Linked DNA regions of Canis lupus familiaris. The protein of the gene in region 5 binds, or shares a complex with, the protein of the main gene of each other region. Links are inferred from orthologs where the notes say so. Each region holds a gene or a part of one and is shown on either strand. Other genes may lie near its edges.

The links.
Region 1: APOOL (region 5) and IMMT share a complex: the UniProt entries of both Homo sapiens proteins name them as parts of the mitochondrial contact site and cristae organizing system (MICOS) complex. The link is inferred for Canis lupus familiaris from reciprocal best matches to the Homo sapiens genes APOOL and IMMT.
Region 2: APOOL (region 5) and CHCHD3 share a complex: the UniProt entries of both Homo sapiens proteins name them as parts of the mitochondrial contact site and cristae organizing system (MICOS) complex. The link is inferred for Canis lupus familiaris from reciprocal best matches to the Homo sapiens genes APOOL and CHCHD3.
Region 3: APOOL (region 5) and CHCHD6 share a complex: the UniProt entries of both Homo sapiens proteins name them as parts of the mitochondrial contact site and cristae organizing system (MICOS) complex. The link is inferred for Canis lupus familiaris from reciprocal best matches to the Homo sapiens genes APOOL and CHCHD6.
Region 4: APOOL (region 5) and MICOS13 share a complex: the UniProt entries of both Homo sapiens proteins name them as parts of the mitochondrial contact site and cristae organizing system (MICOS) complex. The link is inferred for Canis lupus familiaris from reciprocal best matches to the Homo sapiens genes APOOL and MICOS13.

Annotation. Positions count from the first base shown.
Region 1 is NC_049238.1:39,249,163-39,255,438, forward strand, and holds the start of IMMT (MICOS complex subunit MIC60), read left to right. Parts: upstream 1-1,975; 5' UTR 1,976-2,103; coding exon 2,104-2,148; intron 2,149-6,276. UniProt on the Homo sapiens protein: Component of the MICOS complex, a large protein complex of the mitochondrial inner membrane that plays crucial roles in the maintenance of crista junctions, inner membrane architecture, and formation of contact sites to the outer membrane.
Region 2 is NC_049235.1:4,054,790-4,061,000, reverse strand, and holds the start of CHCHD3 (MICOS complex subunit MIC19), read right to left. Parts: upstream 3,427-6,211; 5' UTR 3,254-3,426; coding exon 3,173-3,253; intron 1-3,172. UniProt on the Homo sapiens protein: Component of the MICOS complex, a large protein complex of the mitochondrial inner membrane that plays crucial roles in the maintenance of crista junctions, inner membrane architecture, and formation of contact sites to the outer membrane.
Region 3 is NC_049241.1:896,199-902,509, forward strand, and holds the start of CHCHD6 (MICOS complex subunit MIC25), read left to right. Parts: upstream 1-2,300; 5' UTR 2,301-2,400; coding exon 2,401-2,487; intron 2,488-6,311. UniProt on the Homo sapiens protein: Component of the MICOS complex, a large protein complex of the mitochondrial inner membrane that plays crucial roles in the maintenance of crista junctions, inner membrane architecture, and formation of contact sites to the outer membrane.
Region 4 is NC_049241.1:54,735,165-54,740,966, forward strand, and holds MICOS13 (MICOS complex subunit MIC13), read left to right. Parts: upstream 1-2,231; 5' UTR 2,232-2,724; coding exon 2,725-2,753; intron 2,754-3,319; coding exon 3,320-3,497; intron 3,498-3,616; coding exon 3,617-3,668; intron 3,669-4,035; coding exon 4,036-4,133; 3' UTR 4,134-4,270; downstream 4,271-5,802. Other genes in the region: HSD11B1L (hydroxysteroid 11-beta-dehydrogenase 1-like protein), read right to left, coding at 1-33, 121-138. UniProt on the Homo sapiens protein: Component of the MICOS complex, a large protein complex of the mitochondrial inner membrane that plays crucial roles in the maintenance of crista junctions, inner membrane architecture, and formation of contact sites to the outer membrane.
Region 5 is NC_049260.1:66,055,232-66,061,291, forward strand, and holds the start of APOOL (MICOS complex subunit MIC27), read left to right. Parts: upstream 1-2,539; 5' UTR 2,540-2,618; coding exon 2,619-2,633; intron 2,634-2,790; coding exon 2,791-2,907; intron 2,908-6,060. UniProt on the Homo sapiens protein: Component of the MICOS complex, a large protein complex of the mitochondrial inner membrane that plays crucial roles in the maintenance of crista junctions, inner membrane architecture, and formation of contact sites to the outer membrane.

The DNA.
Region 1 (6,276 bases), on a different chromosome or scaffold from region 5:
TTTAGTAGCTGGATTCTGAAATTTGCTTATGCATTGTCTGTTGTTAATTTCACTTGTCACCTAGCTTCTGGAAAAATTCTACTGTAAAATTATGAGAAATGAGTGAAAACAGCTAATAATATCTTAATATTATGAAGGTAGTTTTGATTTTTATGGATCTTCTGAAAAGGTCTCAGACTCCCCAGTGGTCCCCGTTCACATTCTGAGAACCAACTGAGGAGAGTCATATCCTTTAATTCTTCTGGGTTTTAGGGTATGTAAGTGGGTGATGAGCTTTGACTACTATCATTGCTTTCTTAATCTCCCACCTAAGATGGCTAAATTGAGCCTTAAACATATTCTCATGTATTGAAAAAGTACTGAGACATTTCACAAATACTCTTTGAATTGATAATGGAAGTCCTTGCACATTTTTGAACAGAGGAATGATTTAAATTTGTATGTTACTTTGGGGGAGTCCACTTCAAAGCAAAAAAAAAAATCCATAAATTGCACGTGGAGGATGAAGATTAAGGATTTGGTTAAATGGGAGATGAGGAAACAACAAAAATTAATTTTGGAGCTTGAGATTTGGAAGCTGAAGTTGGTAACGATGTTCAGGCCCAGGATGTGGCTGGGCCACACACGGTTAGGGTAGATTTTTTTTTTTTTTTAATTTATGATAGTCACAGAGAGAGAGGCAGAGACACAGGCAGAGGGAGAAGCAGGCTCCATGCACCGGGAGCCCGACGTGGGATTCGATCCCGGGTCTCCAGGATCGCGCCCTGGGCCAAAGGCAGGCGCTAAACCGCTGCGCCACCCAGGGATCCCGGTTAGGGTAGATTTAAATTGCTTATTTGATATTGAGAGGTTTATGGCCAAGATATTAGAAAACTCATTACACTGGCATCACCCCGTATAACAGAACAGCAGTGGGCAGGGACGGGGGGTGGGTGGGAGGGGTTGGGGAGACTGCAATTTAATGCTAAAACTACTTTTAAAAACGGGAGACTGCTTTGGGGGCTGTTAGGTGATGGGGATATGAAATTAGAGAGCGTAACGTAATTTTTAAAGCACCCTGAAAAGCAATGAATATATACGGACATAAGTATTTGATTTTAGGTAATTTTCAAATTCCTTTCTCCATTTTACAAGTGGGATTAGTATCATACTGTGATACCACCATATTGTAAAACACCGTAACTCTAGGAACACCATGCTGTGATAAATAGCCTAGTTAAGACCTAAAAGCACTTAGCAAATGCAACGGATATACACGTTATTCAGTTTCTTTTGATATTGTGATGGTACGATCATTATTAGTAATAACAGTATTGAATACTGTGTTCAATATTTAACATACTAAATCTTGGTTACAGACTCCGTGGAATACTCTGAAGAGTTTTTCTACACTGATCTCCTTAACTTCCGACGCATTCCATCAAAATTATCTTTGTAAAAGGAAAACGTAGTGGGAAAATAAGTGTGGCTTAAATCTAGGAGTAGAAGCGGTGGAACCCGAAGGATGTGGGTTTCTATCCCTGCTCTGCCATTTATTAGATGCGCGAACAACGCGTTCCGCACAAAGGTCTCTCCAGTGTTCGTCCTCCCAATCTCCCATAATCAGGATGACTCCCTGAAGAAAGGCTGTCAAAGCAAACAAACACGCAAACCAAAACACCATTGTTTACGTAACTTTCGCCAAACCGTCTGCTTTCTACGAAATACCCAGCTGACAAATGCGGCCGGGATGTTTTTTTCCTTGAATTCTTCGACGAATAACATCTTCTATCCGCACTGATCAAAGCCCGAGTTTCGCGCTTCCTCTCACCCTCCGGGTTCACCTACTAACCCCTTCTGGCGGATACAGACCAGAACTCCGAAGGCGACCCGGAAGGAGAAATAGCCTTTTCCGCCCGGGGTCGGTGCGGGGGGGGGGCGCCTCTCCGGGCGGCCTGGGCGGGGTCGAGAAAGGGGGCTGCGCGTGCGCAGCGGCGTTTGTTGCCCTTCCGGTAGGACCGGCGCGGAGAGGCGGCACGGACGCAGGGACGTACGCACGCTCTCCCTTACTAACGCCTCCGCGGCAGCTCCCTCGTACGCCAGCCGTGCCCAAGCCCGGCCGAAATGCTGCGGGCCTGTCAGTTATCGGGTGTGACCGCCGCCGCCCAGGTGAGCGCGGGGGCGCTGGGAGAGCGCGTGGTGAGGCGGACTCCGGCCAACCAACGGAAAATGGGAGAGGCTTTCGCTCTGACTAGGCCCCGGGAGAGAGGCGTGTTTCGCGGCCGCCCTCATCGCGGGAGTCCTGGGCCGACCCGTGAAGCAGTTGATTAGGGGGTTCGCCCGACTGGGATGATTTGAGGGTTATTGCTGTAAGCGGGATGGGGTGTGGAGAGAAGGTGGTGGGGAGGCGGGCGCAGGACCGTCAGCGCGGCTTCGGGGACGCGTCGTCCAATCAGCGGCGCGCTGCCCCAGGCAGGGACCAATAGTGGCTCTGGCGCTCGGGTTGCCGGTTGGGCTCGTGATAGGTTTCGCGCAGCCAGTGGTTGAAGGTCGCGGGGAGAACTACAGTTCCCAGCAGGAAACGCCTATAGCCTTGGCTTGTTGCATCTTTAATAAGGAGGTGTTGGGACTGTTAGAGTCCACATTTTAGGGGTCAAGGTTGTAATTACTCGGGAAGGACCTTCTTTTTTGCAGCTTAGAGAGCCTCTGAGGTATTCTTACTCTAGACAAAAAATGAGAGATTGTAGTTTATGAAGTAAAAACTCTGGGTACTGAGGAAGAACAGGAGTCATGACCTTGTGCTCATTTCTGAGGTTAGCTTGGGGATGTATTTCTCCAGGTGCTGGGACAACTTTGGCAGACATCCAGGAAGCCTAGACACCCAGTGACTTACATCTGCACGCTTGTCAAAGTACTTTTCTAAAGTTGGAAATAAACTTCTATTTCTATTGTTCACAGTTTTCAGAATTATTGATATGTTGGAAGATGTATTGCACACCAAGCAGCAATTGAACAAAATCTCTAGTCAGAGTGAGTGAGAAATCATGTCAGGCTTTTTTTTTTTTTCCTTCAAGTTTGCTTGTCTCCCTACTTGTTGCCAGGATAGAAGCAGCTTTTGTAGGCAAGTAGGGTCTGTATTAGTTCTTTTTTGATGCATAACAGGTGTCACACACTTAGCAGCTTAAAACCGCACCCATTTATTCTTAGACTTTCTGGTTATGAATGGTCTGGATTCTTTGTTCGGTGCCGCACAAGGTTGCAGTTGAGGCATTGACTGCTGTGGTGCTCATCTGGACCTCAGAGTCCTCTTCCAAGTTCATTTTGGCAGAATTCAGTCCCTTGCACCTGAGGAACCGAAGTCCCTGTTTTCTTTCCTGCTGTCACCTAACTCTCTTAGAGTTTGCTCCAAGTGTGTTGCTCAGTGACATGGATGTTTGCTTTCTTGTAGGCTACCAGGAGCTTATCTCTTTGACTTCAGAAGTCTCTCTTAACTTTCCTGTTTTTGATCTCTAGATCAGCATGTAAAAGGCTTTAAGATTAGCCTGGCCCACCTGGAAAACCTCCCTTTTGATTAACTCAGAGTCACCTGATGAGTTACACACCTGCAAAATCCCTTTTGTCTTGCAACCCTAATCATGGGCTTAACAGGGTGGAAATTGTGTGGGCCATCTTAGAATCCCTCCTAATGTAGTACCCAAGTGGGACTAGAACTCTTTGAGTGCAGAACTCTTGGTTTGTCTTCAGAGCTCTCCTTTCATGGAACACTCTTGTTCTGCCCTCAGATTATGTCATGGCTGTCACCAATCTCCTTGTCTGCCATAAAATCTAAAATTTTTCTACTTTTTCCTTCCTTGTCTTGATGAAAACGCTTTCTACTTATTGGGATTCCAATTAGGAAGTTAGAAGAAAACATTAAAGCTTCACACTAAAATATGAACCCTTTTCTAGCTTGCATCCGCATTTTCTTAGGGTCTCGAAATTGCGATCTTGTAAAAATTCATTGGTTTCTTCTCATTTTGTAGCATTTGATATTGTTGCTTTGTGAAGCTGTTTTTGCTTTCTGGCTTTTCTTATGTAGTATCTAGGGGCTCTTTATCTTTCTCCTTTTTCCTTTATTGAATCTGCTACTTGTACCTCGAAATATATCCCCAAGGTCTGACCTCTCTTCCCATCTCTCTCTTTTTAATTAAGACTTTTTATTTTTTATATTTTGAAGATTTTATTTATTTATTCATGAGAGACAGAGAGAGAGAGAGGGGCAGAGACCTAGGCAGAGGGAGAAGCAGGCTCCATGCAGGGAGCCCAATGTGGGACTCGGTTCCGGGACTCCAGGATCAGGCCCTGGGCTGAGGGCAGGCGCTAAACCGCTGAGCCACCCAGGGATCCCCTAACTAAGACTTTTTAAAGAGCAGTTTTAGCTTTGCAGCAAAATTGAGGGGAAGGTAGAGATGTTCTGCCCCCACACATGCTTGCTTACCTTCCACCATTATCAACATCCCCCACCAGAGTGGTGCATTTATTACAGTTGATTAACTTACATGGGCATATCATAATCACCCAAAGCCCATAGTTTACATTGGGGCTCACTTTTGGTGTTGTACATTGTCTGGGTTTGGACAAATGTATGATGACATATGTCAGTCGTTACTGGTATCTTACAGAGTATTTTCACTGCCTTAAAAATCCTCTATTCTCCACTTACTCATCACTTTCTTTCCTCTCCTCGCAACCACTGATCTTTTTATTAACTCTTTAGTTTTGCCTTTCCAAAACGTCATATAGATGGAATCATACAGCGTGTAGCCTTCTCACATTGGCTTCAGTCGCTTCATAATGTGCATTTAACTTTCTTCCATGTCTCTTCATGGCTTGACAGCCTTCTTTTTTTTCTTTTCTTTAAGCATTGACTAATATTCCATTGTCTGGATGTACCACAATTTACCCATTCACCTACTGAAGGATGTCTTTGTTGCTTCCAAGTTTTAGCAGTTGTGAGTGAAGCTGGTCTAAATATTTCATGTGTAGGGTTTTGTGTGAACATGTTTTCAGCTCTTGGGTAAATACTGAGGTGCATGATTGCTGTATTATATGTTTAGTTTTTGTAAAAAAAAGTGTCAAACTGTCTTTCAGAGTGGCTGTACCTTTTGCATTGCTAGCAGTGATGAATGGGAGTTCTTGTTGTCCTACATCCTCATCAGCGTTTGGTGTTGTCAGTCTTAGGGACTTTGGCCATTCTGATGTATGTGATAATCTCATTGTTGCCCCATCTCTTTATATACTGTTACTTGGGATTATATCAATTCTCAGAACTTTCATCCCCAGCAGATGGTTCTTTAGATTCTTTTGAGCTTTCTAGTCAAATTTTCTTTTCCTTGTTTGATTTTGTCAACTTTATCCAGAATATTCTACTTGTCAAAATCTTTTCCATTCTGTCAAGCTTCATCTTCTTTGATGTTTTCCTGCTTTACTATTGCCCTTTTAGAGTCTTCTGGAATTTTTTTTTTCATTAGGATTGTAAAAACTGTTACTCATTACTCAGCAGTAATGTCTGCCAAGTATACATGGTAGAAAGTACTTTAATATATCATTGCTCTTTGCTTTTATTGGTGTTAGATCATTTTTTATTATTCCTTATTTTCATCTTTTTAGGCCAGTGGCTTTCAAGCCATTTTGGAATATTTACATCGTAACTTAAGACATGCAAGTGGGAATATATGAGTAATATATATTCATACATGTATGGAGGGAAAACTAAAGTATTAAGTTCCTTCTTTTGCCATATTTAATACTTGCCATTTGCTTGTTGTAACTGAAGGGTACGTTTTCTAAGATAGAGATCTGTGTCTTTCTTTCTTTTTTTTTTTTTTTTTTTTAAGATCTGTGTCTTTCTTGAGAGATAATACTGCTTCAATGCCAAACTTCCTGGATTTTTTTTTTTTTGTGTGTGTGTATATATAAACATATATATGTATATATATTCTTTTTTAAAGATTTATTTATTCATGAGAGACAGAGAGAGAGAGAGAGAGAGAGAGGCAGAGACACAGGCAGAGGGAGAAGCAGGCTCCATGCAGGGAGCCCGATGTGGGACTCGATCCTGGGTCTCTAGGATCACGCCCTGGGTCAAAGGCGGCGCTAAACCACTGAGCCACCCGGGCTGCCCTGTGTGATATATTTTTAACCTTAATTCATAATTCTTTTATTTTCTTTTATTTTTTAAAGAAGATTTTATTTATTTGAGAGAGAGCGTGTACTTGCACACATAAGTGGTGGGGAGGTGCAGACTCCCCACTGAGC
Region 2 (6,211 bases), on a different chromosome or scaffold from region 5:
TAACACCTGGTAGGTGAGAATAAACTTTAAACTTAAAATTGTTAAGTAGGCCCTTTAATTGCTAACCATTGAGGACATTTTCAGCAAAAAAAAAAAAAAAAAAAAAAAATCTGGGAAAACATTATCTATTAATAAACACAGCCTAGTTACTGAAAGCCTTATGTTGCTTACTAAATGTTACTCTTCCTATATTAAGATAAATGAAGATGAAATTACTATCCTTATCAGTGGAACGCAGAATTGGTTTTCCAGCAGTGACTTAGTCTGTGAATTGCTGCTACGCTCTCATTTCTTATGAGTGATGACATAAATATTAGACAATTGGACAAATCTGGAATGTTTTCTTCAGCTAAGTTGAACGAACCTATCTGCAGTTCAACGCTGAAGCTTGGGCCTCATCGGCACCTCGCTTTAGTCAACTGAGCTAAAAACAGTGGCTCGCTTATGATACCAAGATTGTTGCTTATCCTTCCCCATGCCTCAGAGGGAAACAAGAGGACTGTTTTGAGAGGAAGGCAAGGCAAGGCAAGAGGGTGTATTTTAGGAAAAATACAAAGATCGGCTGAAAAATTTATACAAAATGCCTAAAGGGAAATCACACAGGCAATCAGCTGCAGAACTAAGGACTCCTTTTTCTCAGTCCACATCTTTAGGTATGCCTGTGGGAGCACAATATGCTCTTATTTAATCATTTTAAGATCAATGTAAATTTACATACCCATTCCCTTGAACAACTCTAATAATACCTACTACTCATGTAAGTACTAAGCATTGTCAAAACACTAAATGCTTGTATACCACAAGCAGGCTGCAGTATCTAAACATACTGAACAAGGAAACCTAATCAAAGTGACTTGTCCAGGGCCACTGAGCCTAGTGAGAGGCAGAGCTAGAACTAAAGCCAGGTTGGCCAGCTTCCAAAGCAAGTGCTCTGGCCACTATTCTAACTACACAGCACTTCCAGAGAACCTTCAAATATTAGATGTGAAGGAACCTTACCTAACAGCTGCTTTTTATTAAAAAGCTACAACGTGCCACGTGCTTTAAATACCTTATCCCATCTTCTTACCAAATATGAAGAAGTGACTTGTCCAAAGCCGCAGAATGATAAACATCTAATCTGAGACTCACACCAAGGTCTGTTTAACTCCAAGCTGATGCTTTTTTGAACAAGACCCCAAAGAACTCAGGATGACCCCCAAGTACTCAACAATTCAAGAGCGTGCCATTTTTAGAGGAAATTGCAATGGGCTTGAGTATGGCTACAAGAAACTTATAGTGCCACTAGACTCACAGAATTTCAGAACCAGAAAAGATCAGAGGTCTCAGAGATGTACTCAAGCCCCATCATTTTGCAGATGAGCAAACTGAAGCACAGGGATGCAAATCAACCTTGAAAAAGAAGGATTTGAAGCAAGTGGGAGACCACTGCAAGGGCATTCCAGGTGAAGGGTGTATCCTGAAGTGAAGCAAAGCACAGAGGTCAAAGGGGGCATGGTGTGTGCTTGAATCATAAATACAATGCCCTCTGTGAGAAAGGACAAAAACAAAGAATACTTCTGTCAAGTCGTGTGTTCAAAAGACATAGTTTCTTTTACTTAAAAAAAGTGGAGAAAAAGTTTTTTAAACAATCTCCTCATTCTAGGCTAATATCTACCCTATTATCATCCTTATAGTAGCTAACCTTACCTAATATTTGATATGAAGGTCTGTGCTGTGTCCAAATTTTCTTTTCATTTTGTTTGCTCTCATCACTGTGTCTGTCTATAGCAGGGCGTGAGAACATGGATTTAACTATTGTTCTAGCCAGTGACTTCTCACCCAGAATTTGCTTTGCTCTCCCTTACTTTTCATTTTCACCCTTAGGTATGGAAAAGTCAGAGCCTAAGGCAAGGTTAAACAAATCTCTGCATAAAACGCAGTTTATAGTAGTTTTTATTTTACTCCAAGGAGTACCAACTAAACCACAACAATGCCATGCAGCCTCAGACATTCTGTTACAAAACGTGGTACTGTCATTAACTGATATCAAGGAATGGTGGTCACAGACCAAAAACTGAGGTCAACAGTTTGAGCTTCTATAGAGAAAGCTTTAATAAATTCTTCTCACGGTAACAGTTTCAGAGTAAAAGTTCTTAAACATTTTAAGTATTTAAGAAGTTTTATTTCCTGGTAACAGAACTAAACACAATTCACACATTTCATTCCCTTATGCGGGTTGTGTGATAACAAGGAAGGAAAACTTAACAAATGATAATGGAACTTCCAGAAGTGAAACTGCTTCATTGACCAGGTTCGAGCAATACTCTCAACACTGAGAGGCTCCCGGTTCAGGTGCAGCGAAGAGCGTTCAGTGCAGGTAGGGCCGGTGTACCGACACCCCGGGGGGAAACCAAGTGTTCCGCTTGCTCGCCGAGCACCCGCGGGGGGCGTTAAGGCTTTCCCGGCGACGTGCGGCTGGGGACTCACCGGACCCCACCGGCGCGGCGGTCTCCCAACACTGCAACCCTAGCTCAGGCTAGTCCGGCTGCCTGGCAGGCGCCTGTCCTGGAGCAACCGGGCCTCGTCCACAGAGGAGGCAAAGAGGAGGCGTCAAGCGAAAGCCCAGAGCTGGAAGGCACCCGGGCAGGCCCCAAGTCTGCGGCGTGTGCGTGTGCGTGTGCGTGTGCATGTGCGTGTGCGGCAACCGGGGGCACGAGACGGGGGCGCTAAGGAGAGGAGAGCGGGCTTTCCGCGAAGCGCCAACGCACCGAGAAGGGTAACGGGGGCCGGCGCAAAATGAGGTCGCGATCCTGAACCCAGGAGGAGTTCAGACAAGCCCCACTTCACAGAAGGCAAGGCCGGGGCTTCGGATAAAGCCCCCCGGCTCGTGGGCACCTCGGCCAAGCCCGGACTGGAGCCGCGCGCGGGGCAGTCGGCTTCCGCGTGGCGCTGCCCCCACCCGCCCCAGCGCCCAGCTCAGCGCCTGGCACGGGGCCAGGGGGTCCCTCTGGATGGACGTCCCGAGTCTTGAAACTTCAGGCTTCCTTGCAGGCAGGCAGCTCGGCTTCGGGCCGGACAGCACTGGGGGCCCGGGCGGGGGGACCCCGGCTGAGCCGTCCCGGGCAGGCCCGAGTGTGGGGTCCGGGCCGGGCGCCGGGCGCCGGCCCTCCGCCCGCCCGCGGTCACTCACCCGGATGCCCTTCACCACGGTGATGTTCTCGTTCTCGTCCGCCTCGAAGGTGACCCGGCGGGTGCTGGCGGCCCCGCCCATGGCTCCTGCTTCTGCCCCCGCACAGACCTGGCCCGGGCGCACGAGGAGTTCAGGCCCCACGCGCACACACGCGCGGGGACGCACCGGCCGACGCCTTCCTCGCGCGGCGGGAGCAAGGCCACGACCCCAACAAGCAAGGAGAAGGCGCCGGTCCTCGGCTCCCGCCTCCTCCGGTCACGCGCCGCAACAAGCGTGCCTCCGATTGGTCGGAGACACGAACGGCCCGCCTCTATTCGGCGGGGGCGCCCGGATTGGTTGGACCGGCCCCGGAGGCTATGGCAACAGGTGCTGTCTGACCCGGCTTCCGCAGCCCCCGGGTGTACTGGGAATTGTAGTCTCCCGTCCGGCGCGGTAGCGGCTGGGACCTTCTTGCCTCGGACCCAGAGCGCGAGGGGCGCGCGGCATCCTGGGAGATGTAGTCTGGATTGTGCGCGCGCTTTGTAGGCGGGCGACTTGGAAGGAAGTCCGTCCCTCTAACGAAACCTACGTTTTGGACGTGTGGCTCCAGAGACGTGGGTCGGGGACGTGGGGCGTACAAAGTCTGTCCTCAGGGAACTCGCGGTCTGCCCAGGGAGATGCTCTGTCCTAACGGAGCCATTCCTAGATTCCTAACACTAGAAACATGAGGCAAAATGTAACATTCATTTTAGCCTGAGCCACAAAAACAATAAAAATCCAGAAACTCGCCCTGTGGCCGTACTCAGGAGGACCGTGTACCACGCACCGTTCTGTTGACTTTCGTGAGATGAAGTTCTAACTACTGTGGCGTTCAGGTCCGCAGGCGCGGACACAGACCGCAAAGCGCCCCCGCGCCTCCTTCCCCGTCCGTTGCCGCAACTGCTTAGGCCGGGATGCGACGAGGCGGAGGAAAGCGCAGCCGCTACCACGAGCGGCGGGCGTTGGGGGAGGAATCAGAACCACAGCAGACGAAGCTGAGATCATTTATTCTGGAAGGTTTCTAGTTCAGAACTTCGCCTCTGCAAGACCAGTAAATAACTTTTAAGTGACATACACACATTTAGAATTCTTACCGGGGTACCCCAGTGGCTTGGTCCGTGAAGGATCTGGCTCTTGAGCTCGAGATACTGAGTTTGAGTCCGACCTTGGGCTACATGCTAGGCATGGAGCCTATTAAAAAAAAAATCAAATCGATATCTGCTACGTACCCTGTGACCTGTAACTCCAGTCAAATGACTATAGTCTTACAGAGGCAGATTTAGAAATGAGGCTAATGATGGTGCCATTCTTGAATCCCTGTCAACATTAAAAGCAACCAACCACGACACAGCATGGCATCCTCCTATTACAAAGGCATTCAGAAAACTTGTAATGATTTTTTTTTAAGTTTTATTTAAATAATCTCGACAGCAAGCATGGGGTTGGAACTCATGACCCCTAAATCAAGGGCCGCATGTTCCTCGAACGGAGCCACCCAGTCACCCCTTAAACCGGCTATTCATTACTGGAGGAATCTTTAGAGCCAACACTGTGTCTTTCATCTCTGTGTCCCTGGTCAGCAGTAGAGTAATGAATTTATTCCATTCATAATTTTGTTATTTTTAATATATATGTTTCCAAATTGTATTATGTTATTTTGTTCTTATTCTCAAATTGTATAATATATTTAAACCTTTCTTTTACAGGGAACTAAAAATCCCAAAGATTATGTCTTTCTTGGGCACATTCCCTCCCTATATGTACCCTCCTCGCTTATTACCCCAATACATAGAGCAAACTGGAGGTTCTACATAAAACAGATGCTCAATTAATTATTACCAAAATAACTAATTACAAGAGTTTAAGGAGAAAGTAGAGATATGAAGGAATCACTAATTATATTGAATACAGTTATGATGGAATGCCTGGATAGCTCAGCAGTTGAGCATCTGTCTGCCTTTGGCTCAGGGCGTGAACTCAGGAGTCCCGGGATCGAGTTCCACATGCGGCTCCCTGCATGGAGCCTGCTTCTCCTTCTGCCTGTGTCTCTGCCTCTCTCTGTGTGTCTCTCATGAATAAATAAATAAAATCCTAAAAAAAAAACCTTTAGAATTAATAATCCATTCCAAACAACATTACCGAAAAGAAGAAAGAAAGAAAGAAAGAAAGAAAGAAAGAGAAAGAAAGAAAGAAAGAAAGAGGAGAAAGAAAGAAAACCAAAAACAAAACAAAACAAAAACCTTGAATTGAAAAAAAAAAATACATCTTTTTCTTGGAAAAATGCCTACTATAACAATAGTGACCTACCTGTATCAATTTCAAGGCCAAGCATGCCTACAGTCCCTTCTAAAGAAAATGTCTTGAGCTACCTAGGACTTGTGGTCTCCCTTTTTCTCTGGCCACAGCTTATTGGTGATCATCTAATCCAAAAGCATTATCAATTAGCCAGAGACCTATGAACTAGAATGCAAAGTTTTACCTAACCAAAAATAATAGCTAACACTTGAGCCACTCAGATTCTATACACCTTTTCTCTATCTCTCTATTGCTCTCTCAAATTTAAACTTGAAAATTCAGAGCATACAAAAAGATAGCAAAGAGAGAAGTTTTGATACTGAGTCAGAGATGTCATCATGGTAAACTAAAGAGAGGTCGGAGCAGAAACTGTAAGAATATAAGGTATCTGGATTGGACAAAAAGGAAAACTATATTCTTGGATGGCACGACCTTATAAATACAAAAATCCCAAGAAATCCACTAAAAAATGATTAGAGCTAATTTTAAAAATCCAGCAAGGTTGCAGGATACAAGATCAACTTACTAAAATCAATTGTATTTCTATATAATAGCAATTAACACACCCAGAATGAAATTAAGAAGACAATTTCATTTATAATATAAGCAGCAAAAACAACTCAAATACTCATGAACTTACAAATGGATAAACAAAAGGTAGCATATCCAGGCAATGGAATATTATTCAACAATAAAAAGGAATGAAATACTGATACATGTTATAAT
Region 3 (6,311 bases), on a different chromosome or scaffold from region 5:
GCTGACACCATAACCCCCACTCCAGGTCTTGTGCAATTCTGATTCTCTCCTGGGATGTTGCACACAGTGGCGGCGGGGGAGGCCACATACAGTCTCAAGCTCAGGCATGTGGTTCTGACTCTCATTTTGCAGAATGAGTTCAGTGTGTTATTTCACCATCTGACCCAGAAGTGAAATCCATTCCTTTCTCAACTTTTCACAAGCCTCCCTCCACAGCCATAGGTGTTTGAGTGTTTGGGAGACCTTCAAAAATATGTGGAGCATGTAGTGGATGCTTAAAGTTCCCCACCCAGGTTTTTTTACCAGCTGGTGGGGCCATCCCCCAGCGTCTGGTTGTGGCTATTGACAACTCACAGATGCCCCCTTCACTGGGGAATTGTGCTGGGCTGCCAATAATTGACTGACATGGGGGACAGAAGGCCTGTCCCCTTGTTGTAGGATGAGGCTAATTCTGTATTTAATTTGTTCTCCAGAGCCTTGCCCCCACCCAGCCCTGCCTAGCATTAGGTGGAAGCCAGTCTCCAGCTTTGACCCCACTTCATCCTGTTCTCTTACTTTCTTTCTCCTGAGGCACCTTCCAATAAGCCACTTGAGCCAGAGTCACCTTCTCCCGCTCTGCTTATATGGAAGAAATGGAGGACAGAAAGGAAGGAGAGAGATTTACAAATCAAAGTATTTTGAATGGAAGTAGCAGATATCCTTGTTCATAAAAATCCTCTGGCCCTACCTCTGGAATGTTCATTGGCTTCCTAATTCTCATTGGTCTCTCTCATTCACTCTCTCCTCCTCACTCCTTCTTTTCCAGGTTCCCAAAAGCAGCTCCAAATGACTCTTGCTATTTCATGTAGCAATTTAGGGTTTCTCAGTTCAAGATTTCAAACTCAGCTCCAGGGGCAGCCCCGGTGGCGCAGCGGTTTAGCGCCGCCTGCAGCCCAGGGCTTGATCCTGGAGACCCTGGATCGAGTCCCACGTCAGGCTCTATGTATGGTGCCTGCTTCTCCCTCTGCCTGTGTCTCTGCCTCTCTGGCTCTATGAATAAATAAATAAAATAAAAATCTTAAAAAAATATTAAAAAAAAAAAAACTCAGCTCCAGGCCCACTTTGTAAATCAAAGCCATTTAGCAACTTGGTTGAACAAAACGAGGCTTCATTCAATGTCACTATGGCTATAATTCACAATCATTTGTGTTCCTCCACTACACATATGATCCTGTGTAAGCATAAACACAGTGCTTGATACACTGCCCTGAATGCATGACATGTATGCTCCCTGACCAATGTTTCCTCAATGCTTATGAGCATTCACCGTCTTAACAGGGTATTTAGAATAAATCTCTGGGGATCCCTGGGTGGCTCAGCGGTTTAGCGTCTGCCTTTGGCCCAGGGCGTGATCCTGGAGTCCCAGGATTGAGTCCTGCATCGGGCTCCCTGCATGGAGCCTGCTTCTGCCTCTGCCTGTGTCTCTGCCTCTGTGTGTGTGTCTTTCACGAATAAATAAATAAAATCTTAAAAAAAGTAGACTAAAACTCTGACCTGCCTATAAGGCCCTAGTGATGTGAGACGTTCCTGCTCCCTTCACCTTCTTGCCTCTGGCTCTCTTCTGCTCCCTTGCACTTCTCAGTCGTGTGGCTAAGCCCTGTATTTCTTAAATGCGGCAAGGTCTTCTTTGTCTCAGGGCCTTTGCACTGGTTGTTTCCCAGCCAAGTGCTTCCCTCATCTTCTCCTGGCTAACTCCTACTTATCCTTATGTCTCAATTCAAATCCTTCTTTCTCATAGAGGTTGCTCTGGTCTGTCACATTAGAGACCCCCTCCTACTAGTTTCTCACGGGGCATTGTGATAGTCTTTTCCATTTCTGGCACTTGTCACAGTGGTTAGTAAGCTTATTTATGTGCTTGCTTGTTTGTCTTTTCATTTGTTCCTTCCATTAGGTCTAAATCTCACGAAGGCAGGACGTCTTGTTCCCCACGGCTGGTTCAATGCTTGCTCCGTCTTGGTAAGCGCTGCTCAAAAGGGGTTTGCTGAATGAACCAAGGTCGCCCTCGCATGGCTGGCTCAACTCCTCGGGGGGCTCCCGGCCTTTCAACATCGCCCCCGGCTCTGCTTCAAGGGCGATCTTCCCCTCCCCTGCCTGCTGCACTCCAACACGCTTCCCGCCGCCCGGGCGCCACGCCTCCGACGGGCAGCCCCGGCGGTCCAGACTACAACCCCCACAATGCCCCTCAGGCACGCGCCGCAGGATTGGCTGAGCTGGCAGCGGCGGCCAATAGGACGGGGTCTTGTTGGCTTGTGCCGCACCCGAGTCCCGGGCAGCGCGGGGCGCGCAGGGAGCCGCAGCCCGGCGTCCGCCCGGTTGCTCTGGAGCCGGGTCGCGCGGCCGCCCGCCCGCTCTCCTCCTGCCATGGGGAGCACCGAGAGCTGCGAGGCCCGCAGGGTGTCCTTCGGGATGGACGAGGAGGAGCGGGTCCGGGTGCTGCAGGGCATCCGGGTGAGCGGGCCGCCGGCCGGCGCGACGAGCGAGCGCGGCCTGGGCCGGGTGGGCGTGGGGGGCGCGGGCCGGCCTGAGGGAGGGTCGGGCCGGGGGCGGGCGGGCGGGCGCGCCTCGCTCGGTGACCCTCCCGGCGCCGCGGCGGCGAGCGTCCGCCTGGGACGCGGGGCCCGAGGTCCGGGGGCTGCCCGGGGCCGCCGTCCGGGAGAGGCCGCCGTCGCAGCCCCGCTGGCCGAGGCCGAGGCCGAGAGCGGGGAGGGGAGGGGAGGGGAGGGGGCCCCCTGCACCTGTGCAGCTGCCGTTGCCGGGCGGACCCGGGCGGACCCGACTCTCCGCACTGCAGCTCTGGGCCCAGACGCCTGCAGGCGTGGACGCTCCCCGCTCACCGACGCCGCAGCCCAGGAGCAGTTAGACGTTGTGAATCAGATCACAAACCCCCCTGCTCCCCTCACCCCCGCCCCGCGGAGGCCTGGCGCTTTCCAGACCAAGAGGGGCCACCTCCCTGCCCGACCAGGCCGCCGCGTGTGGCCGCCCCTCACGCCCCGCGCCCCGCCCCGCCCCGCGCCCCGCCCCGCCCCGCGCCCCGCCCCGCGCCCCGCCCCGCGCCCCGCCCCGCGCCCCGCCCCGCGGCCTTCCGACTGCGCGGCGTTGGCCCGGGCGGCTCCAGGGGCGGCTCCAGGGGCGGCTCCAGGGGCGGCTCCAGGGGCGGCTCCAGGGGCGGCTCCTGGCGTTCACCGCTGCGTTGGCGGTTTCTACTCCCCCAGCTTTTCCTGGATCTGCCTCTTGTTGGCGGGGTGAGGATCATCCGAGCATTCTTCGGTGACCAGTCTTCTAAAGTAGCCCCCTCCCTCCGTCACACGTGGTTTTTCCTAGTAGGCGTGAGTCACCATTGGAAACTTGATTATTTATTGTGTTTCCCACCACGTGTAAGCTCCTTGAGGCTAAGCTTCATTTCTGAGTCACGACTCCATCCCCAGAACCTAGGAGAAGTCTAAAAGCAGCCCACATTTGAGTGCTTAGTGGGGACCATGGGTTCCACTGAGTCCTTTACAGGCAACCTCTCATTTACTTTTCAACAGCCCGGTGAGAGAGGTAGAACACTGTTTGCCCATTTTGCAGACTAAGGACAGATTAGACACTGAGAGATGACGTAACTCCGCCCAGGTCAACAAGAGGAAGAGCTGCGATTGAAGCAGGCCAACCCCAGGGCCTGTTGATTGAATGCTGCACTTCATGCACTTGTGCCTGGCACATTGTGGTTTGTAAATGATTGTTGGGTGGCTAAATGGATAAGCCCAGTGAAACAGCCACCAAATCCAAACAAAATGCAGAGCTGAGTATAGGCGAATTAGAGAGTAGCTCAGAAAAAGACATCAGGAGGTCTGACTCCCAGGCAGATGCTTATTAGCTATGTGGCCTTGGGTGAACAACTTCTCTTTTGAGTCTCAATGACCACATTCTTAAGAAAATTAGGGGAGGCTGTATAATCCCAGGTACTGCCTAGGATAAGATGAAGATGTATATGGAAGTGTTTAGAAGTGCTTGTGTTTTGTGATGGCCTCTGTTCTTAGTCTAGTCTAGTGCTTAGCACAGTGGGTGCTTGCTAGATGTTATCTAGTCTTGACCTGGCTCCAGAGAAGACAAAATAGGGAGCAGATGGCCCATGTTTGAAGGTTGAGAAGTAGGAGCCTGAACTGGAATTTAGAAGAACACCCTTGGCTCTGTTTGGGGGCTCTCACCTTTGTCACCTGGTATCCAGTGTTTGGGAAGTTTGGAAGGTTAGGTCAGTCAGGGTCTCCTGAGATTCAAGGGGGTCCTTTTGAAGGTGAGTTCCTCTGAGTTGACAGAAGATCATTTTGGGGGCCATCGTATCAGACTACTACATTTTGTTTCTAGTGCCCTTAACAATTCTGCAAAGTAGAAGTTCTTGTTAAAGATGGAAAGTCAGGCTTAGAGCTGTTAAAGAATTTGTTCAGAGCGTTACCTGATTGGCTGATGGGGCTTGAGTCCAGATCTTTTGAGTGCAAGAAACAGCCTTTTCTCACTACTCCAGGCTCCTTTCCTAAGTAATAGGCAAGGCAGCCTGAAAATTGTGTGTCACAGCCTCTGCCTGTTCTGACAGTACTGGTACCCCACTTGTTTTCTCCCAGAGACTGTTGAAGCTGAAGGGAGCTTTGGTGACTGAATGCTGGGCAGATTCATCAGAGAGAAGAATGACTTGCCCAGAGTATGGCCCCATACTATGAGAGCTCCTTCTTCTCCTTCTTCTCCTTCCTCTCCTTCCTCTCCTTCCTTCCTCTCCTTCCTCCCTTCCTTCCTTGCACTTTTGTGCCTGGTTTTGGGGAGGGAGATTTGAAAAAGGAAGTGATGGTAATGAAGTGTTTGGTGTAGGGGTTTTTTCTACTAGCAGAGTTACTTGAGGGTTGGAGAGTCCACCTTCTCCTTAAGCAGGCAAGTAAAAATCAGTAGAGATTGTTAGATGAGCCAAATGAGAAGTTACTTTAATAGAAGGTAGATGCCAGAGAAGAGTATCTGCCCCAGGTTCTTCAGAGAAAGTTAAATATTCTTAAAGACACTCATATTTAATCCCCAGGCCCTGATCTTGGAAAGTGCTCTAGTTTCCTTAAGATTCAGTTCTAGGGCCTTGCTACTTTGCAATTAATTTGCATAAATTTACATATTGAGTTCAAGCCCTAATTCCAAGGAAGGTAAAAGAAATTTAATTAATGCAAAATGCTGCAATTATATTCAACTGCAGTTTTCAGAGCAAGCATGTGTGAAATACATAAAGATTACTTTTTATCCAGTCTATTTAACCTCATCCTCCAATGAGAGAAGGTGCATGCATGGTCATAATGTCCTGTGTGTGCCCACTTTTCCTCTTTGCCCCATGTAAACAGCCAATATTTGGTAATGCAGATAAAGTTGGTTGCTTTTCAACATGTAGACTCACTGTTCTCCAGCCTTTTCCCCTTCCAACTGCTGCCATTCTTTCCAAGTCACTTGCTGGCCTGCTGCATGATCCTTATGTCCCCAGGCTCATTACGCTCTCAGGGCTACATCACATTTACCATTATCCATTGTTTTCCATGAGGCAAGTTTGGACCACTGCTTTAGGGGAGGACCAAGGAGGATGTAGAAAGATGCACAAGAAATAGTCCCCAAACATGCCATTGCCAGAGAAGCCCTATGCCTGAGCACTGCCCCACTAGCCCCCACTTAACCTGTCACCTCAATAAATACGAACACGTTACTTGTTAGGTACTGGGCCTGGCCTTGCAGAGACAGTAAGGGATGAACGAAGCACAAGATCCTCGCCCTCATGGAAACCTCAGCCCAGTAGCAGGAACAGACCAAAAGGAAGAAAAAGTCAAAAGAATAAAAAAGCACTGCAAGTGTGCTGAAGGAAACAAAAGTGTGCAAAGTAACGGGGACTCCCCATTGGAGGTGGGACGGCAGACACTGCCACCCTGAGGAGGGGACACTGAAGATGCACCAGAGCCAGCCGTGAGAAGTGTGGGCTGAGCTGTGTTTTCTGAGCACTAGCTCAGACCTTCCCCTCGCTGACCTTGTGAGCTGTTCTCCCCATCTCAGATAGGACACAGGTTCAAGGAGGTGAAGTAACCCAAGGTCACAGCTGGTTAGTGGTAGAGCTGGAGGCTAGACCTTCCAGCTCCACAGGCCATGTACTTGGCAGCCACACTGGGGTTGGGATGTGGAGGCTGAACAGGGGATGGACTCTGAGTGCCGGGGAAGGCTGTCTATATGTTTCCTTGGAGGCAACATTGCAAGTCTATAATTAGGAGTGGCGCTTTGGAAAGATT
Region 4 (5,802 bases), on a different chromosome or scaffold from region 5:
GCCCCGGTCAGCAGCACCCGGGCTCCCTGGAGGCTGGCTAGCAGTGTGCACCGTGGTCAATGCTGGGGATGCCCCGGATGGGGGGCCCAATTCGTCCCTCCCCCACCTCCAGGCACTCACCAGGGTCAAAGTTGTCATCCCAGTAGTAGGAGAAGAACAGGGCTCCCAGCCCCGTGAGGAGCAGAACCTTCATGGCCGGCTCTGAGTCTGCAGGGTCTGCAGCGGGAGAGAGGATGGCAGGCACAGCCTGGCGCACAGCCTGGCCCACAGCCACCCCCATTTCCCCAGCTGGGCCTTTGTTTGCTGACGATGCTCCCTCCAGGCCCTGCCCTCTCTCCTCCATCTCCGCAGCCAGCACCTGGTCCAGGTCATATAGCTTCCCCTCGCCTCTTCAGGTTGTTCTCCCTCCTAGAAGCAGCCAAATTACATCTTACCTCCCCCTGCTGAAAACCCTCCCCATCTCATTTAGGACAAAAGCCAGGCTCCTTGATGCTCAAAAAGGCCCCACGAGGACCAGCCCCTCTTGCTCTGTTTGCCAAAACAGCGCCTCTTCAGCATTCCTTAGAAGGAGCCAGACTCCATCCTGCCTCAGGGCCTTTGCATTGGCTACTCCCTCTGCCCGAAATGCTCTTCCCAAATATAACCCAATGAGTTGCTCTCTCACTTCTCTGAAGTCAGCACAAAACTGACCTTCTCCAAGGAAAACCCCCTGGCCTCCTTTCCTAAAGTACCTCCTGGTCCCTCTCCCTCCTCTTGCCTCTAAAACTTCCACGCTCTCAGCACTTGCCATGATCTGAAATCATCCTGATGATCTGTTACATGCTCCCTGTCCCTCTCTCCTCTTAGAGCGTCAGCTCCACGAGGCAGGAAGGAAACGGAAACTTGCTTCTGCTTTGTTCGCTGTTGGGTCCTCAGTGGCCCCCAAACTGCCAGACATGGAGCAGATGCTCGACAGACACGAGACTGGCCCTGAGTGATGTGACGAACATTGGAAGTGACAGCTGGGGGGACCCGGAGAGATGACTCTGGAGACACCAGGAAGGAGCCTGTGTCGTCACGGTTAAGATGTGACTTGAGCTGTGGGAGTGGATTTACTTGTTCCGGGGAGAAGGTGAAAGAGAGAAACAGGCCAAGGACTTCACGATTCAGGGGGGCACGAATCTTCCCCCAAGGAAGGCACAGGCCCGTCACATCCTGGGGTTTCTGTTCTCTGAACGCAGTAGGGGTAGAACTGTAGAACTGAGAGATGGTGGGGCTGGGGTGCCCTCAGCTCTGAGATGTCTAGATCCTTCGACCTACTGCCAACTTCCAGCTGCCTCCCCCTGCCTCCCCCACCCTCCCACTCCCTCCTCCGCACCCTATGCTCTCCGGGCAGCCCAAGACATATTTACCCAAAGAAATGTGACTGCCCCTTGCTGCTGCAAACCCTCTCAGGGCTCGCCACTGCCCCTCGTGGAGACCGAGCTCCTCACCCCGGCCCACAATGCGCCGCGGGCCCGGCCCTGGCCCACCTGTCCCTTCTCATCTTGCCGGGTTCCTGTCTGTGACTCTTTCTCAGCTCTCCGAAGAGTGAAGTCCTCGCCCTTCCCCAGTCACGGCAGCCATCCCACCTCTCCCCGCTTTCCAGGGGACGCCCGTGAAGTCCCGCAACTTGACCCTCTTCCACCCTGACCACAGCAGCCACGCGGCGGGGGCGGGGGCGGGGGCGGGCGGCCGGCTGGCCGTCTGGGTGGATGGGTGGGTGGATGGATGGACGGAGCAGCCGGCCGGCGTCCCATGGGGACGGAATTGGGAGAACCAGACCCTCGCAGAACGCACTGGTCCCCTGACCTCACAGAGCCTCAGTTTCCCCTCTGGACAAAAAGGGCGTGCGACGTGCCGCGCGCTCCCAACCTCGTACTCACCCACTCGGGCCTCAGTTTCTCCCGCCGTCCAGCGGGGCTGGGGTCCGGGCCTGGGAGCCCGGCGCGCACCCCTCGGACTCGCACCTCCCTACGCTGCCGGCTCCGCCGGGCCCCCGACCGCGCCCCCTCCCGTAGGGTCCGGGTCACGTGACACCGAGCCCACCTCCGCAGGGGGCGGGGCCTGGCGGGGGAGCGCGGCGCCCGGGCGTTGCCCGGCAACGGCCTTCCGCCCGGCTCGCCCTCGCCCCGCCGTGGTCCTGGGCCCGCCCCCTGGACGAAAGCCCCGCCCCCGAGGCAGGCACGTGACCGAGGGCCCGCCTCCCACGCACAATTCCGACCTCGCGTTGCCGTGACAACCAACCATCTTATTGGCACACTCGCCCTGGGCCGGGGCCCTCGGTCCCCCGCGCGGGCGCGGGTGGATCTCCCGGACTCCGACGCCTTCTTGGGCCACTGTCGGGCCTCAGTCTAGACGCCCGACTCCTCTTTTCCTCGCACGCCGCCGGAGCCGCGCCAGACCGGACTACATCTCCCAGCAGTCTCGGCGGCTGGGCGAGCCGTCCGGCGCCTCACGGGGGTTGGTCCTGACTCCATTTCCCAGGCAGCCTTGCGGCGTCCGGGCTCTGAAGATTACACTTCTCAGAATCCTTTCGCTGGAGGGCTGCGGAGCCTCTCCGGCGTTTTGCGGCCGCCGCGCGACTTCGACTCTCACAGGCCTTTGCGGCTGAGTCGGGCGACTACGTTTCCCAGAGGCCTCTGCGGCGCAGTCACCGGAAGCGGCGGGCGAGTCGAGTGTCCTTGCGCGCGGAGCCGAGCGACCATGGTGCCCCGAGTGTGGTCGCTGATGAGGTGCGTGGGGCGGCGGGGCGGGCTCCGAGCCCCCGAGAAAGCCCCTCCCGTGGGCACCCCCCGCCGGGTTTGCTTCCGGCTGGGTCTTGGAGTTCCGTGGCGTCGGGTCCCGCCTCGGCCTGACCTGAGGGTCAGGAGGGGAGGGGCCTCCCGCGATCCGGGGCCGCAGGTGCCTCCCCTGGACGGCGGGAGTGCCGCCCGCGCTGCGCCAAGACCCCGGGTGCCCGGGGCGACGCGCGACGTCCAAGGAGCGCCCAGGGCCGCGCGGGACCCCGCGAGGCACAAGGCCGGGGGTCTAGGCCTTCCCTCGCCGCGCCGTGTGCGGATCACGAGTGGGCCTCAGTTTACCTGTTAAACGGGGCCGAGGGGCTGTGCTCTGTGCAGTGAGGGGAGCGTTGTGCCAGGCGGTGCCCGGCCGCCTCCTTGTTCTTCCGTGTCCGCTGCCCGGCCTCGCTGTGTCACTCCCCGGACCCAGGCGCCCCGCGTGGGCCAGGAGCCCGGGGCTGCCGGCAGTGCCGGGGAGCTGCTGAGCCGCCGCCCTGCCTCCCCCCCCCCCACCACCGCAGGTTCCTCATCAAGGGCAGCGTGGCCGGGGGTGCGGTCTACCTGGTGTACGACCAGGAGCTGCTGGGCCCAAGCGACAAGAGCCAGGCTGTGCTCCAGAGGGCCGAGGAGGTGGTGCCCCCAGCCATGTACCAGCTCAGCCAGTACGTGTGCGAGCAGACCGGCCTGAAGATGCCCCAGGTAGCCCCCGGCGGCGTGTCCGTGTCCGTGTCCGCGTCCTCCCACGGGCTCGGTCCTGCGAGGCTGGGGCCGCGGGGCCCTTCCCCTTCTCACCTGCCCCTTCTCCCCTCTCTTCCCAGCTCCCAGCCCCTCCAAAATTTAACTTTCACTTCCGTGACACCTGGAACTCAGGTAGGCCCTGGTCCCCGTGCTGGGGGGTGACCCCTGCCACCGCAGCCTCACAACCCTGCCACCGCTTGCTTCCTGGTCACTCCTTCCCGTGGCTCCCCGTGCTGCCCTGCACCCCTGCCACGGATCTAAAGGATCTAAAGAGGGTGGAGATTTCAGGGAGGGGTGAGCCAGAGGGAGCCTACTTTGAGGACAGGTGATCTCAGACAACATGAGGCCCTGCCCCCCCCCCCGCCTCAGTTTCCCCATGTGGGACCGATGGCGCTGGAACTGGTGCCTCTCAAAGCCTTGTGGAGCTCGGGTTTCCGGGGGGCTGGTGTGGGTGGGCGAGACGCGGTGGCTGAAGGCGCTGGGGCCTCCCTCTCCACAGGGATCCTCACGGTGATGTCAGCTCTGTCGGTGGCCCCCTCCAAGGCCCGCGAGTACTCCAGGGACGGCTGGGAATACCTGAAGGAGCGGATCAAGTAGCCTGCCAGAGGCCACCTGCCCCAGTCAGGAACGGGGGCAGGGGCACCAGCGACCTGGAGACTCCAGACTGGGACTGGGACCCCACTCGAGGGCAGCTCCCGGCCTTGCCGGCCCAATAAAGGACTTTGGAAATGCTCCCCGACCCGTGTGCTGGCCCTGGGGGCTGGGGGTGGCCCGGCTGGTGCCCAGAGCAAGGGGCCTGGGCTAGCAGCTCCTCAGGGCCTGACCTGGACCACAGGTGTTGGTTAACCCCTTTGCCGTCCGGACCCCACTGCTGAGTCTCCAACCTGGTGCGGGGCTGGGGGCAGACATTGACCCTGGAGCTCCACGGACAGTGCTCAGGGGCCCAGGAACGGGTTGAGAAAGTGCCGATGCCGGCCTTCCTGGAGGGCTGAGCCCAGGGTGGGGGCTTTGCGGGGCTGGGGGCCTGGGGAGGGGCATGTTCATCTCCCCGCTGTCTGCGTGGCCAGGAGTTCCCGGGGCCGCTCAGTGATCACCGTGTGTAGAGCTGCTCACGAGAGCGACTGCAGTCCCCGCAGGACGGGCCTGTGTCCCCGGGGAGGGGGTCATGACGTGGGGGCTGCAAAAAAGCAGAGATGGCCAGGTGTGGCCCAGGGGCGCCGGGCAGGCAGGCAGGCAGGGCTTCAGGAAGCACCTGGCCACCCCCAAGGCAGCCGCACAGCGAGGACGAGGGTGGGCCGTGTGGTTTCCAGGTGAGGAAAAGGGCGGAGATAGAGGCACCTGTCTGAGGGCACAGGGCAGGCAGGGCTGCGTCTCTTACAGACGGACACACGTACCCCGAGGGCTGCTGGGGCCTCAGGCTGCTCCAGGCCCTGCGGGTCCCTCAGCAGCTCTGAAGAGATGCCTTCCCCAAGCCCTAGGTCTGTTTGCACTGACGCCCCCCCCCCCCCGCCCCCGGCTCTCGGCCTTGTGCCCTTCCATCCACTTCCCAGGTCCAAGTCTGAACATGTCCCTGCCCTCCTCGGAAACCCTCTATGGCTCCCTGCTGCCTTCCCCTTGAGCCCGGACTCCTCCAAGGGGCCCCATTCCCAGAACGCAGTTGGTCTTCACCACTGGCCTTGGCACCCACTCAGCAGGCCATCCTCCCTCCTGACTCTGGCTCATCCTGCCTGCAGCTTAGCATTGGCCTCCTCTGGAAAGCCTCCCGACCCCTTCCTCCCAGCCTGAAGTCAGGCACTCGGCCCAGGCCCCCCGACTGCCCTGTGGGTGTCCTATCAGGGCCTTAGCACTGCGAGGCAAGGTCGCCCTACCTCAGCCTGGGCACAGTAGGTGTTGAACAGCATCCCTGCCTCCACCCCCGAAATGCCAGTGGCACTCTGTCCCCTGGTCCTGACGGCTGCAGACGTCTCCAGTTGCTGCCAGGTGTCTCCTGGGCAGTCATCCCAGCAGACGAGCACTGCCTTGGGAGTTTGCTAGTCTCCCGTGACAAATGACCAGATTCAGGGGCTTAAAAGCACACGTCGACCGGTTCACAGATCTGGAGGCTGGAAGCCCACCACGGGTCTCACGGAGCTAGGAGGACAGGGCTGGCTCTTTCTGGGGACAGTCCGTATCTGGCCTTTTCCAGCTTCTAGAGGCCACCACACTCAGCAGGAGTGCCCCCCCCCATCTTCAAAGCGAGCTGTGGAGCGTGTGGGTGTCCAGCCCC
Region 5 (6,060 bases):
TGAGATCACAACCCATGCCAAAGTCAGACACCTATCCAACTGTGCCACTCAAGTGCCCCAGAACTGTAAATTTTTTTATTTATTATGCAGTAGACCAGCATGCAGGTTTAAATGCATTTTCCTTTAAAAAATACATTAATACAATTAGAAAACTTTGATCCATTACTTTTTTCCTTTTTTGTACTGCACTATTTAGTTTTATTTTTATGATAGATAGATATGAAGTTAAATAAATTCAATATCTTTTATGGCCTTTATTATCAGTTTAATTGTATCCTTCTTTAAGAATATTTATTATAATATTTAATATTTACTTACTTAATAAATATTGATATTTTTGAGTATATTTGCCACACAATGTTACATTAGTTTCAGATGTACAACATGGTGCCTCAATAACTCTATACATTATGATATGCTCACCACAAGTGTAGTACCATCTGTCAGTATAAAACGCTATTACAATAACACTGACTGTATCCCCTGTACTGTACCTTTTACTATCCTGACTTTTTTTTCCCAATAACTGGAGGTCTCTTCCACTTCCCCTCACTCATTTTGCCCATCCCCACCCTCTCCCTCCTGGCCACTACTAATTTGTTCTCTGTATTAATAAGTCTGGTTCTGCTTTTTGTTTGTTTTCTCATTTCTTTTCTTTTTTTTAAGATTTTATTTATTTATTCATAGAGACAGAGAGAGAGGCAGAGGGAGAAGCAGGCACCACACAGAGAGCCTGACGTGGGACTCGATCCAGGGTCTCCAGGATCACGCCCTGGGCTGCAGGCGGCGCTAAACCGCTGCGCGACGGGGGCTGCCCTCTCATTTCTTTTCTTATTTAGTTTCCATATATAAGCGAAACCACATGGTATTTGTCTTTCCGTGTCTGACTTTACTTAGCAAAATACCCTCTAAATCCACCCATGTTGTTGCAAATGGCAATATTTCATCCTTTTTTATGGCTGAATAGCCAAGATATGAAAACAATCTAAGTGTCCATTGATAGATGAATGCATAAAGATGTTGTATATAAGATAAAATACTAGTGAGTCATCATTATTTCTTTTCTTAAAATATTTTACCGTTTATTGGAAAGAGAGAGAGAGAGAGAGAGAGAGAGCTGGGGGAGGGGCAGAGAGAGAAGCAGACTCTACACTGAGCAGGGAGTCCAATGTGGGGCTTGATCCCAGGACTCTGGGATCATGACCTGAGCTGAAGGCAGATACTTAACTGACTGAGCCACCCAGGCACCTCCACCATTACTTCTTAAAATAATTTTGTCATATCGAGGATGAAACCATTAAAAAATTATCTGCTTAGGATGTCAAATATTTTAGCTATGTTACTGATACCTGGTATATAGTTGGCACTAAAATAAAAAGGCCATGCTGGACTTTTTTCTTTATTGTTCTTTCTACATGAAACCGTTTTCCCTAAACTCTGTCAGCACTTTTCTCAAATGTCAGCTTATCAGAAACCCTTTCCCTAACCTATTTAAACAAGTAAATTCTCACCTTATTCCCATACTGTTTTATTTTCCTTTATAGCATTTGAACATTTATTTGTCTTTTTCTCTTGGGAACATAAACTCCATGAGGGAAGGCATTGTATTATTCTATATGTTGAACAAATGCCTGGCATATAGGAGGCTCAGAGTGACATAGTTTTAGAATGTACGAACTTGACCACTTATCGCAGAGGTAAATGTTCTTTTAGTAATTGATAAAATAAAGAACATTTTCAACTTTTCATGTGTTTGTGGGTCCTGCTCCTGGAGTCCCAGAGAATATAACTCTTTGACGTTTACCAAGGTCAAAATGACTTTGCAAAACTTCAAAATATGGACTCTATTTCTGCACCTGGCACTTATTGCACATATGCATCATTAAAAAAAATAACCAAAGGAGCATTCCAAACATAAAGATAAAAATAGAAAAAAATCTCCCTGGTTCCCATAAGATTAAAGTCATACAGCCTTGCACATATTAAAAACATAAGATAAAGTCTTTAACCTTCCAGAATGTCCTTCCTCAAGATGATCTGTAACTTTCTATGAAAAGAACATATATAACCCTCCACTAAATGTTCCTTCCCGGGAGCACTCTCTTTTTTGTGAAGGTTGTATTTCCAGGCAACTGTTTTATTTTATTTTTTATTTTTTTTTCAGGCAACTGTTTTAACTTGGGCTTGAATAAAACTCTTTTCCTTTCTCTTTAAACATTTAAGAAAGTTTTGTTCAATTTGCCTGGAGCTGACTACATAGTTCTTCATTACTGCAGCTGGACCTGGATTTTAGATCCTTATCTAGACAAATCACATAGGTATGAAACAACGAAAATAGTGCAAACCTCTGCACCCAGCAAAATAGCTTTCAACTGGATTACGCAGGGTATTCTGAAAGGCTTTATCGAGGATTGGAACAGTCACGTGGATGAACGGTTTTACCGATAGACAGCCGGCCAACTGTGGCAGCTTCTCAAAGACGCACTGGGAGGGTGGAGAAAGGGCGGAGCCAGCGGACCAGGGACGTAACCAGGCGGGGCTCCAGAGGTGAGCCGAGTTGAACAGTTTTGTCCTTCTCTGCCCACCATATGAAAATCTAGACGCAGAAAGTCACGGAGATGGCGGCTGTTAGGGTAAGTTGAAACAAAACCCGGATAACCTGCCCTGGTTCCTCGGTGGAGAGAGCAAGAGGCGGGGTGGAAATGGGGTTGTGAAAGAATCGGCAAGGTCAGGGAATCAGAAACGGTTGAAGCCTCAAAACACTTACCTCTCCCCCTTGGATTTCCCTAGCCTGGGACAGTACTCCCTCCTCAGTCTTCTGCAGTTAACTGTTTATACAGCGGCACGGTGGTACTGGGAAAAGGCTGGGCAAAAAAGGCTGGCCTGGAGACAAGCAGCGGCAGACTTGTAGGTATTGAACTGAAACAAAGAGAAAAGAATCCCGGGCATTCGATTGGGCACACAGGGTGGAATCTCCTGGCCCTTGGAAAGTCTTCGTTCAAACATTTGGGGGTGAAATAGACTAGGATGGAGATGTCACAAAGTCTCTGCAGTGCGCGGTGTTTGTATTTATTGTTGTTCCTTTCCGGGCTTGAATAATAAACTTGAGTTCCTTTTGAGTTCTGTACTGGGAAAAAGTGCCTATACTTAGGAATCTTTGTACCGGAAGTGACTCAGCTGGCTGCTAGCTGCGGTTCCTTAAATAGGTTTCAGTAATAGTAGTTGACAAATATCTACAGGTGGATATTTGTAGCCGGTTTTACGTGTAAAATGTACTGCTTGTAGAAGATACAAATACGAATAATTCAGCCAAAGTTTAAGGTGACTCAGTGTCCATCTTGATTGACAATTCTCCATTTCAGCATTTCTGGTACTCATAATTTATCTGAATTATCACTACAGCCTTCTAACTGGACTCCCGTCTCTAGCCTAGCTCTCAAGGAATCCATTTTCCCTGAACTGCCAGAGTACTTATTCTACAATGCAAATCTAATTATACCCCTTTCCCACTTAAAAACCTTTATTGGCACTCCTTCATCTGTTCTCTGGAGTCAGGTCAGACTCCTATGTCTGGAACACCCATCCTTGCCTTGGCTTTTCAGCTTCATCTGTTGTCTCTCAGGAAATCTTTTAACATCTGCACTCCAAGCCTTTCCCCCGCTAGATCTCTGGACTTGATGGGAAACATCCTCATCTAGTTCCTACTTGTAGTCCATTCATTCATTTAACAGCTACTTGTTTACTGCCTCCTCATACACTAAGCACAAAATGCATTTTCCGAGGTAGTGTTCCCGACTTCCCCAGTTTAATTTAAATAACTCCTTTTCTTGTGCTTCCAGAGGACACTGGGCATACTTTTATTATCTTAGCACTTATCACACTTTATTTTTTTTAATTTTTTTAAGATTTTATTTATTTATTCATGATAGTCACAGAGAGAGAGAGAGAGAGAGAGAGAGGCAGAGACACAGGCAGAGGGAGCAGCAGGCTCCATGCAGGGAGTCCGACGTGGGATTCGATCCCGGGTCTCCAGGATCGCGCCCTGGGCCAAAGGCAGGCGCTAAACCGCTGCGCCACCCAGGGATCCCCCACTTATCACACTTTAAATAATAGACTATTTACTTACCAGTTCTACCTTCCTATAAGCTGCTTGAGGACAATAATTAAGACATTAATTTTTGTATCCCTAACACAGGTATGACTTACGTTAGGTACTCAATAAAAGCTATAGGAATAGGGATCCCTGGGTGGCGCAGCGGTTTGGCGCCTGCCTTTGGCCCAGGGCGCGATCCTGGAGACACGGGATCGAATCCCACATCGGGCTCCCGGTGCATGGAGCCTGCTTCTCCCTCTGACTGTGTCTCTGCCTCTCTCTCTCTCTGTAACTATCATAAATAAATAAAAATTTAAAAAAAAAGCTATAGGAATAAATGCCAGGCAATGGGATAGTGTGCTCTGATTCAGAAAAAAAAAAGTGCCTTGCCTCAAGAGAAGTACAAAGTGATCTAAGGGTTCAAAAGAGAGAACTCAAACCTGGTTAAGGAGAATAAAGACTTCGTGGAGGAGGTACAGAGACAGAAGGAGTAGTCATTGGTAAAAAGCAAACCAGAATAGTGTGTTGTCACTGAAGCCTAGAGGAAAGAGTTGAACAGTTTGGCCAATAATAAGTCACTGGAAACTACCATTTATTAATTGCTTCCTATGAGATCAGGCACCATGCTAAAATACTCTATCTACCTCTGTTATTTCACTTTAATCTCAAGATAGCTTTATTTTGTAGTTACTATGATCACTGTTTTACAAATGAAAAACTAAGGTTGAGAGAAGTAAATTGCCCCAAATCATAATCCTAATAAGAGCTGAAGTGAGATAAACTAGTATAAATAAAGTAGTAGAGGGAGAATCTAGATTGTAAGAGGTTAAGGAAAGGATAAGGGAAACTGGCCATAATTTAGCACTTACTTTGGCCAGCTGCTCTACATATATTATTTCATTTTAATCCTTTTGATGACCCTAAGAAATGGGGTATTATCCTCACTTTATATATGATAAAGCAGGCTTAGAAAAAAGTGCTTGCTCCAGGTCATAACTGCTAAAGGTTCAAATACAGGTGTATTTAGCTCCAAGGTCCATGATCCTTCCACCACTCCTTGCTTCTGAGAGGAAGGGTATATTACTCTTTGGAAAAGTGTTGTGGTGAAAGGAAGGAAATAAATCTTGGGATACAGGTAACAAATTCCAGAAAAGGTGTATTTTCATTTAAAAAGGTCAGGAGAGGGATCCCTGGGTGGCCCAGCAGTTTGGCGCCTGCCTTTGGCCCAGGGCGCGATGCTGGAGACCCGGGATCGAATCCCACGTCAGGCTCCCGGTGCATGGAGCCTGCTTCTCCCTCTGCCTGTGTCTCTGCCTCTCTCTCTCTCTCTTGCTGTGTGACTATCATAAATAAATAAAAAAAATTAAAAAAAAATAAAAAGGTCAGGAGAGGAATGACAGGTGGCTCGGTGCTTGAGCATCTGCCTTTGGCTCAGAGTGGGATCCCAGGGTCCTGGGATCAAGTCCCACATCAGGTTCCCTGCAGGAAGCCTGCTTCTCCCTCTGCCTATGTCTCTGCCTCTCTCTCTCTTTGTCTCTCATGAATAAATAAAATCTTTAAAAAATAAAAATAAAAAAGTCAGGAGACTGTCAATTATATCTTGATAAAACTGGAAACAGTCAGGAAGCCTGAGCTGGTTTGGTGACAAGGGGAAATGTGCCAAAAATTAATATAGAGGAAAGATAATAATAGTTATCACAGCTATTAAGTTACTAAGCATTTACTGGTTTGGGCATTTTGCTGATCATTTTACATGAATTTTCTAATGCTTCACAGTGGCCCTATGAATAGATACAGTTATCATCATTTTACAGGTAAGGAAACTGAAGCTTAGAAAGGTTTCATAACTTGCCCGCAGTCACACAGTAGTAAAGAGTAGAGTCAGATCTGAAATTATGTGATCTCAGTCCCGATTATGGGGCTTAACTTTGTGGAAGCATTTGTGAGGCCAAGGTCCCAAAAGGGTG